Linked DNA regions of Xenopus tropicalis. The protein of the gene in region 1 interacts with the protein of each later gene in a pairwise test. Links are inferred from orthologs where the notes say so. Each region holds a gene or a part of one and is shown in the gene's direction. Other genes may lie near its edges.

Evidence for each region. The genes of interacting proteins can lie anywhere in the genome.
Region 2: the proteins of reep6 (region 1) and litaf interact in binary tests that used the Homo sapiens proteins (3 or more experiments, as listed by UniProt). The two-hybrid records come from large-scale screens. The link is inferred for Xenopus tropicalis from reciprocal best matches to the Homo sapiens genes REEP6 and LITAF.

What each region holds. Positions count from the first base shown.
Region 1 is NC_030677.2:99,404,246-99,409,249, forward strand, and holds the start of reep6 (receptor expression-enhancing protein 6), read left to right. Parts: upstream 1-1,605; 5' UTR 1,606-1,639; coding exon 1,640-1,754; intron 1,755-2,762; coding exon 2,763-2,856; intron 2,857-3,248; coding exon 3,249-3,387; intron 3,388-4,149; coding exon 4,150-4,318; intron 4,319-4,406; coding exon 4,407-4,480; intron 4,481-5,004. UniProt on the Homo sapiens protein: Required for correct function and survival of retinal photoreceptors. Required for retinal development.
Region 2 is NC_030685.2:36,369,780-36,374,673, forward strand, and holds the start of litaf (lipopolysaccharide-induced tumor necrosis factor-alpha factor homolog), read left to right. Parts: upstream 1-1,898; 5' UTR 1,899-2,025; intron 2,026-4,894.

The sequences.
Region 1 (5,004 bases):
GGATTTGTGTAGGCAATTAATTTATTCCAATTTAATGCCAGCTTAACACCACTTTTGTTGAATCCCCCAAGTAAAGAACTCATTAATTCATATGAGGAATATAGATTTATAAAAATAAATGTCAAAAACCTAGCTAAAAATTAAAGAATATCAAAGACAGCAAATAATAAGTCACCCCAATTTTCTTCCAAGATGGCACTTAGATTGTAAGCTCTACGGGGCAGGGACCTCCTTCCTACTGTGTCTCATACCACATGGCACCTACTCCCTGTGCATTTATACTTATTTATTGTATTTATTATAACACTCGTCTTTCTTGTGTGTAATTTTGTATATTGTAAGATTGCACAGTGCTGTGTACCCTTGTGTCGCTTTATAAATAAAGTTATACATACATTATACATACTTTTCTGTTTTAATTGGTTTCTGTGATATTAGTCTAATTGGTTCACAGTTTAAGGCTGATGCCAGACGTGGTGTTTTTACGCTGCGTATTTTCTCCGCCTAAAAACGCCGCACAAGCCACACAGCCCCTGACTATGGCATTTTTCAGCCTAGTACTGGTGACGTAGCAAATCCTGGTTCCCATGGAGCTAATAGTGCAAAATAGTAAAAAACGCTGCGTATTTCCGCTAGGTCTGGAAGCTGCCTTTGTGTATACATAGGAATAAGTTGCTGTGCAAATAACGGCGTATTTCGGCAAACGCATGAGAAGTCGTATTTATGTATTTGCGTATTTACACATAGTGTGTTTTCTATGGATGATGATATTGTGCGTTTTTCAGCCGCTGAGTGAATTAGAATTTACAGTGTAAAAACGCCACATCTGGCATCAGCCTTATACTGCTAGGCAGATTTCAGCTCAACGGTTATTAAAGGCCTATAGTGTCAGAAACTCTGTCTATTATCTTTACACTGCCTGAAGTCATTTAACCCTTGGCTTGCTGACTCCCAGTTGATCTGAATGCAGGTGGCAAAAAGCTGCCTCTGCTAACTTTAGAAGCTTTCATTTTTTAAAACAGATGCCACAAATTTGGCACTGCCTAATGCAAATATATCAAAAGCCTCTAAAAATAAAAAAAATGAATGTAAATTGCAAAAGCGCTTGGGAAACAACGCTACATCAGTTTATTTTGGGGTTTAGTCCCCCTTTAACAGTTACTTTGGAACTATTTTGGAAGGCAGCAGGAAATGATTATATATGAAGTGATGTTAAAAGCAAAAGTATTAATACCCAAATAATCATTTAAATGGTTATTACTTATACCACCACTAACTGACTATGCTTACTGGATTCACACAATCCCGGAAACACGATTTGTTTCAGAGCTTCGGGTTACCCAAATTATGGAAAAAAAAGACCAGAAAAATAATAATAGGTTTACGTTGAAGTCCTGCACATAAAGGCACGTTAACCTCACCTAAATTCACAGAGATACAGCTAAACGCTAACACTCTCACAGCACTTGTTCCCTGAACCGCCTTCACCTGCTCGAAGAGGACACGCCCTTCGATGTGATTGGGTTTTGAACATGTGACACTTCCCCCCCCCCCTGCAGTCCAGCCGGTGCGCCCGCATACGGCTCAGACCCTGTAGATTATCTGTTTGTCCCCAGTACCTGGACCTTGCTCCATAGCCATGCCTTCTATCAAGGAGCGCCTCCAGAACTTTCTGAATGGAGACAACTTCGTATCCCGGTTATTGGGGAAGGCTGAGGAGAAAACTGGGATCAAAAAGTATTATCTTGCTTCGGGTGAGCTAGCTATTATTCGGGGCTATGACAGGAGTTCTGTATCTGCTAACAGGTGGACGTGTAATTAGACGGCATGCTCAGGACAGGGTTAAAAGGGGCTTCCGTCTCAGTGTTCCTGTATTTGTATAGAGAGTTGTTTAAATGACAACTACCCTTCTAGCTTGTGATTTAAACGTGATCATTCAGTGCGACGAAGAAGGAGTAGATAGTTCCACTGTGATTGCGTGTGGCATCGTGTATATGGCTACATTCAATACAAAAAAGTAAGAGGGGTTGCTAATAAGTGGGGCACTAAGCCATTGAATAGAACGTGTGAGGCTGCTGGAGCCAGACAGGGGGATTATGTCGCTGCATTAGCTTTACGTCCCAGACCACGTTCTGCAGGAATCCATGCTGAGAAGCCGAGGTCAAGTTGCAAGATTTCAGTAGCCTCACATGTGGCCCCTATTTATGACTGCTGCACATTGTATTTTATGTTGGTGAAAAATAATACCACATTCCATCTGCTTGGGTACTAGTCGTTCTTGTATAATCGTTATGGTTAATAAGTGATCTGCTTTGGGTGCTGTTACAGCCACATCTACATATCTGGCCTGTCATGTGCCTTATCATTTTCTTATGCTGTCTGTGAATAAGAGTATCCTAATGTGAAGGTCACAGCATGCCACCCATTGGCCACCTTTTAAGACACTGATATAAAGAGCAACATTTCCCTTCCTTACTCTAGGGAGCTCACTAAATATGTAAATGTATATAGATTGTAAGCTCTATGGGGCAGGGACCTCCATCCGCTTGTGTCTTTGACTCTTAACTTATTGCAACTGTAACTGTATCTTGTATATATTTGTATTTATTGTTATACTTTGTATTTATCTATTATCTTAGTAACCCCCTGTTTGTATTAATGTATTCTACTGTACAGCGCTGCGTACATAAGTAGTGTTTTATAAATAAAGATATACATACAAATGTTCATTCTTTTTTTTATTACAATGCTTTTCTTCCTAGGTTCCATCTGCTCCCTAGGGCTGTACCTTATATTTGGCTATGGGGCTTCTCTTGTCTGCAATCTGATTGGCTTTGTGTACCCAGCCTATGTTTCGTAAGTATCCGGATTTATTCCTCAGCAGTGAATGAGATTAGAGTGTCTTCTGGATGGGGGAAGGAAAAGTAGATTAAAGTGTTTGTACCTGTTGGAGAATGTTTCTCCTGTTAAGAGGCAGATTTATCAATGTGTGAGATTAGAGTTTACCACAGAAAAAATGACATACTTTCTATTCATTCCCACGGGATTTTTAAAAGTGTATTTATCAAATGGCAAGCTTTAATTTTCTCCCGTTTATAAAAACACTTGGGAATGAATAGAAAGTGGGTGAATTTTTCTGTGGTGAGCTGTAATCTCACACCTAGGTAAATCTGCTCCTTAGTGTTTTGACACTTTGTTGCTAATACTATACTAATGTAAAATCTACAATTTCTCATTTTGTCTTGTAGGGTTAAAGCTATTGAAAGCCCAGATAAAAAAGATGACACAATATGGCTGACATACTGGGTGGTATATGGCGTGTTCAGTGTAGTGGAATTTTTCTCTGACATATTTCTCTTCTGGTTTCCATTTTACTACCTGGGCAAGGTCAGTAGTTAAGGGACAGGTGAAAGTGCTAAAAATATTCATTTTGAGTTTGTCATTTGCCAAAAGAAAGGTGAGAATGCTTTAAAAAATTTGCTTGAACTTTTCCCCTTCTCTGATTTATAATTTTTACATCTAATCCTGCAATCCTGTAATCCTGTGGGATCACAGATCTGGTATGTTTGAAAGTTTCATCTTGGTGAGTTATAACCTGGAATATATGTCCAGGTAGTTGGTCAGTAAGGGGAAAAAGCAGACACATTGCCGGACCAGTTTTTGACATGTTTGGCTAGCTATAGCTTCTCTTAAGAAAGAGAATGTTTTTAAGTATTGAACAGTCACCTCAAATCACATGCTAGTAATTCATATATTAATCTATAAAGCTTCTGCATTTATTTAGAGCCTATCTCACCTCTGTGTATTGGTGAACTGCTCTGAGAGCCTTTTTTTTTTATTGAAATTCAGTGTTTTATAATGAATACTTCATTATGCTGGCACAGTCCAGTCTTGCTTTTGAGGGGTGTAAATAATTGAAATAATAATAACCTATTATGATAATAGTTGATAATGCCAACAACAGTATGACTTTATCTTGCATTTAGATGCAAGATCTGTATTCAGAAATTTAGAATCCCAGTTAGGTTTTATTGCATCAAATGCTAATTACAAGACTGAAATTTATTTTTACATTGTTTACCATAGATATTGATCAAGTCTGCCTTACTTGCTTCCTTCTAATCAGTGTGTCAATGGGTTTCTCTACAGTGTTGCTTCTTACTTTGGTGTATGGCTCCATTTTCATGGAATGGCTCTCAGATTCTATATGACCGGTTCATCCGCCCATTTTTCCTGAAGCACCATCGAACGGTGGACAGCGTTGTTAGTGACCTTGGAGGACAGGCTCTAAACACAGCTGAATCTGTCACTAGAGGAGGTACACATTCTGGTTGCTATATTTATTTCCCTTTTGACATCCTAGGCACCTTAAATTCACATTCTCTCTTCTTGTATTAATGCTACAGTCCTGCATACCTTGACCAGCAGCAGAACCCTTCTGGCACGTGAGGGAGGCCAGCAAGCTCTCCCCAGCACCTCTGTATGTAAACAAACTAGCAAGAGGAGGAGAGCTCAGCTTGAGCTTATAGTTGTTTTTTGTGTTAGGTTTTGCTCACTGTGTTGATGAAAGGGGCATAATTATCAAAGGGTTCCAGTACAGATCACTGCAGGCATATTTCATTACTCATTTTCTCTTGTACAGGATTTTTTAGGGGCCTAAGATTGAACTCATACATTTTGCCTCTGATAAACAGGCCCTGAATAATCCTACACAATTAAATATAATGATATGAACTTTGTCACTGGTGAACTATGGTAAGCATTGTTTCACCATTTGATAAATATGTCAGAACGAGTCAAAGATTAAAAAAAAACCAGGATGGTATCTTGCACTCTGGTCAGAATGAAAGGAAATTAAGAAAAAAAGTTAATATAGTTGAGTAGTGGTTAACTGTGCTCCACACATAATTACAAATTGTTTAGTGTTAAGGTAGACAAGGGTATTTGAACGTGACTTTTTTTTATTACTGTAATTATTTAAAGCACAGGGTCTAAATTAGCTAA
Region 2 (4,894 bases), on another chromosome or scaffold:
CAATTTTTCACGTTTATGCACTACTACACTTTGAGCGATTGATTTACTTCTTAACCGGCAAAGCATGTAAAGGTATAAATATAAACCACTGTGATGAATTTATGGAAGAAGTGGTGATTTCATTTATCCAGTACTGCTGATCAGTGCTATAAGGGGGTTTATGGTCCTTTCGACATCATTCATTCATACCAAGGTACACACATACAAGTGCTCACTAGTGTTTTAATGTGCTCTATTTTCAAATGCATCTTGAGAAAGACAGGGAAAACAGTCTTGAGATTTCTGTACCGAAGACAAATAATATTTTTAATAAAAAGGAGCAGTTTTTTAAGGTCACAACTGTCCACAGTCCATTCTTGCAAGGACACCGGCACTGCATTAAATAAACTAGTAGAAACCGCCTAAAAATGCATGCTCGCATTTTTGGGGGGTGATCTCTGTTCTGTTTAGCTGCACTCAGGCTAACACTGTGCCAGTTTGTGAAGCAACATACAGGCAGGTATAGGGACCCCCTATCTCTCCTCTTGCCTACAAAACACAAGAGAAAGAGGACAGGACACCACGTGGGACTGTGTCCTTAGTGTAAATCATGTCCTGTGCAAGAATGTTGCAGTGCGTACCCACTGACAATGAAAGAGCAGTGTACAAATTACAATGCATTCCATTGATCTACCACCAGTTTCATACACAGGCCAAAGCTGCCATATTATCGTTTCTTTGAATGGACAGAGGGTGATATGCAATGTTTATTATGCCAGTTTGGCCATCATCTGAGTTTGACCTCTGAAGCTGCATAGGGTGCTATGAGAAAGGTTCCATATGGCACCCTTTGCAGCTTCAGAGGTTCCCACCAACAGGATCCTGGGTGCAGTGCCTTAGGATGAGTCTGTGCTACAAATTACAGATATACTATTATTACCAGCACATCATTAGGCCCTGGCATTTCAAGTACACAGAAGCCCAATCAGCCCCAAAACACTGTGACTGTCCGTTAAAAATTGACAATAGTCCTCCTGGCATTTGCCAGAACCTACAGTTTGCCTGTACACCATACCTCATTGGTGTTTATTCCATTTTTAGAAAGACTTTCCCTTTCCGGTCATCATATGGTGAGAAGTGGAACTGTGCAGGCCGCAGCTTAGGGGCATATTTATTATAGAGAAAATTTGTCACACATCGCCATGTAAAAATGGCGTAAAAACGGCGTAATTCTTTTACGCATTTTTTTTCCACCGGAACTTATGGAAAATAATGGCGTAATATCCGGCGTTCAGATGGTGATCTTTTCCATTTATTTTACACAGCTTTTTTTCGCCGAATTAAGTTTTATACAGCATAATAAATACGCCCCTTAGTGTCCGATCACCAGCGATCCAACATGCTGGCTTCAGAGTAAACTGCCCCAGAACCAGCATACATGCCCAGATGATGGTAGGCAGGGTGTATGAAATCAGCACACTGACCAAATCAGGCCAAGTATGACCACAGTATGACTATAGTATGACTACAGTATGGCACAACAGTGCAGCTGCCTGCACCCCTCAAGGAATACAAACTCGCCTGAGCAAACAGAGACAATAAGCTCTGTCCTGCGAAACCTGGGACAGCTGGCTGGGCTGGAAACTCTATGCACATAACCTTCACCTTCGTGAGAACTGAAACTACTCCAAAACAGAAGCACACTTACTTCCGGTGAAAAAGTTTCGCTATTTCATGGCAAAGAAAGCGTACTATAAGGGGAGGAGCAGCGCAGCGTTGGGGAACTCGGGCTCCTTGCTTGGAACACGCACACGGTGTACTCTCAGCGCTTCCGGGCCAGCGTCGCGCCCCTCAGTTTAACAGCGGGATAGGGCGGTGCCTCGTAAGCCACGCCCGCTGCAAGTTTTTCTCCGTATGTTTCCAGAGTTGTGGGAGTACAGTCCCTAGCTTTAGTGTGCCTAACTTGGATCTGCTTGTCTGAAGCTTGTCGTTGCGTTCTCCTCTGGTATTAGACAGATTCAAGGGACCATTTCTGTCAAATTTGAGGTACGTGCCTGTCTCCCCTCACCCAAGGATCGCTTTCCACGTTTACTCTATAAAGTTTTCACACTTCGAACTATGAACCGCTGCTTTCCAGCTGTGGATGAAGATGAGGAATGCTGGGAGTTGTAGTCCGGCCGCAGCTGGCGAACTGCACGGGAACGAGTGATGTCACTTGCTCTGTGTTAGAAGCAATCGCTCTTTCTTACCGATACGCTTGCTTGGCTGTAATGTTTCTGTCCGTGTATACATACTGGGTTGTGTATGTGTGTGCAAGTGTGCGCCGGTAGCGCAAAGATGGCAGCTGCTACAGATGTGTGTGTGGGTTGGAGCTGGAAAGTTTGCTATGCAGGGAGCTGTATCCGGCCGCAGCAGCAGGGTGAGAGTATCATGGTGTGTTTGTGGGTACAGGTATTTAGCAACACATGGGGCTCGATGATCGCATTAAGCTGAGCCATATTATCATTGTATTATTATTTTGCCTATTACATATTTCCTATCAGCTAGCCCTAACATTGTTGGCATTTGGACACAATAAATTGGTTGAATCATCTGTTATTAAACAAAATCACTATAATTATGATTCCTCTTGTTAAAATGAGAGATCTACCATTTACGGAAAATATGTTGTTTGCAATATGTCTATGAAGATTCTCATTCATCCAGGTCATGATATACAGTATCTAGTAGAATTAAGTCTAAAACAACTGGACTTTTCTGAGTTTTTTCCTTGAAAACGTTTCAAGATTTTCCATTTCTAACATTGGGACAGTGAAAGCCTCTTGTGTGAAATTATTCAACTGTACAACTGTACTGCTTTAAGAACAGAAGCCCTATGTAGGTATAGCCCTCTGTTTGCCCCTAAATTGCCTTTCTGGCTCCTTTATTTAGTCTAACACCTCCTCCTCCTAGCCCAGAGCAAGGGGAATGTGCAGTTGGGGCTAGGCACTCTGGTACCTGGAAGGTAAGTACCACTGCTGAGTGGAAAGGGCTTTAACCTTAGCTGGACATGGCTACTATAGGCCTGTGCAAATAAAATTAGTGACTTTTTTTTGTTAGTTCTTTAGATGCTTCTTTAACAGCAGCATAAATCTATTTGGCATGATTCCTTTGCAGTTTAGAATACACAGAATGTAATTTCAGCACAAGTTCTATTAATTCTGCTCCTATTGAAAAAAAGGTCTTTGTGTATGTATATACTATTTTTCTATATGTATTCTGCCCCTTTAAAGGGCTAGACAATGTTAAACCAATTCATTTAGTCTAACTAAAAGGCATAAAGAAGAAATACTGAAATCTGTGACATTGTCCAATAGTAACAGCTATAGTGTGATAGAGTTTACAAGGTGGAACTTTCATGTACCAGTCAGGCTGACATACCTTCCTCTATGAATTGCAGATTATTGAATATTTCATACAAACATTCTGCTAACATTCTCGGGTTTCTAAATTGGGACTTTGAGCCTGTCACAACTAGCCCATCTGTACTGCAGGAGTCCCTAATCCTGTTGCGCAGTTTACAGAATGTGTGTGTACCAGTATTATTTTAAATCCCAAACCCTATGCCATAATTTGGAAAGTGCTGCTTATAAATTGCAAAGTAGCAAGTCCTCACTGGTGTTCAAAATAGGCCCTGGAATTTCAAGTACACAGAGGGCCAAACGGTCAGTCACTATTTAGTGGGCAGTGGGGGGCTATGGCATCTTAGAGCACTACCTCTAGCACTAGCCAGAATCCACAGATTGCCAGTCCAGGCCTGCAAAATAGTACACTTTCCAGTAAACTGAAAAGAAAAGCAATGATCCAGTGTTCATACTCAGTGTATTCAGATCATTTTTTCCACCATTATAGCATCATTGGGCTTAAGTAAAACATAAACAATTCCTCAGACTGAGAGCCATAATTATCTCCTGTGACTCATAGGGACCATTTCCCCACCCCTTAAGGTGGCCGTACATGTTCAGATTTTAGTCTTTTTCCGACGAAGTTTGGATGTCAGTCATACATTTCAAGGGGATGTTTACCTTAAAATTAACGTTTATTATGATGTAGAGTGTGCTGTTCTGAAACAATTTGCAATTGGTCTTCATTTTTTTTATGTGGGGTTTTTGAATTATTTTGCTTTTTGTTTTAGCAGCTGTCTGGTTGCTAGGATCCAAATTACCTTAGCAACCAAGTAGTGGTGTGAGTGAGACATTGGGTTATAAATAGGAAAGGGCCTGAATAGAAAGAAGAGTTATAAAATATGACAATAATACATCGGAGGATGTTCTGAACATGAAATAGTTGCAGACACCAAACCTACAAAAGTTCCATTGTAGGTCCCCCAAGGATATTGTCCGATACACAAAACATGCATGTTAGCCGACCAAAATTTTTAACCTGACCGATTGGCTAAATGACCAATCACCATAGTAAGAAAATGATTGGGACGATAATTCAGAGCCCACACATGGTCCAAAAATCTTACAAAATCTCGTTTTTATCGGTGTGTATACGGCCAGCTTTAGCCTGGCAGAGTCATTCAACCCCTGGGACTTGAAGTTGCTTTTTAAAGGATCTATGCAGTGGCCACTGTGGAAAGCAGAGGAACTTCAACTCTATAAATCCATCACTTCACCACAGTACAATATGAGCGAGGGGTTGAATGACTGTCAGCCTAACTGGGGGTGGGCAGTGGACTGTGTGAGTCAGAAGCAGGTCATTGTGTTTTCTCTATATCTGTGGAATAGTGTATGTCTATGTAAAACAAATGGGTTTATATATATTTTTTTTTTTTTTGCAGTTCACGTAGTGATTATACATGTGATTTTAAACAAGCCCAAATGAATGTGCATATTTCAAAAACTTGTCCCCTTTAAAGATGGATATGTAT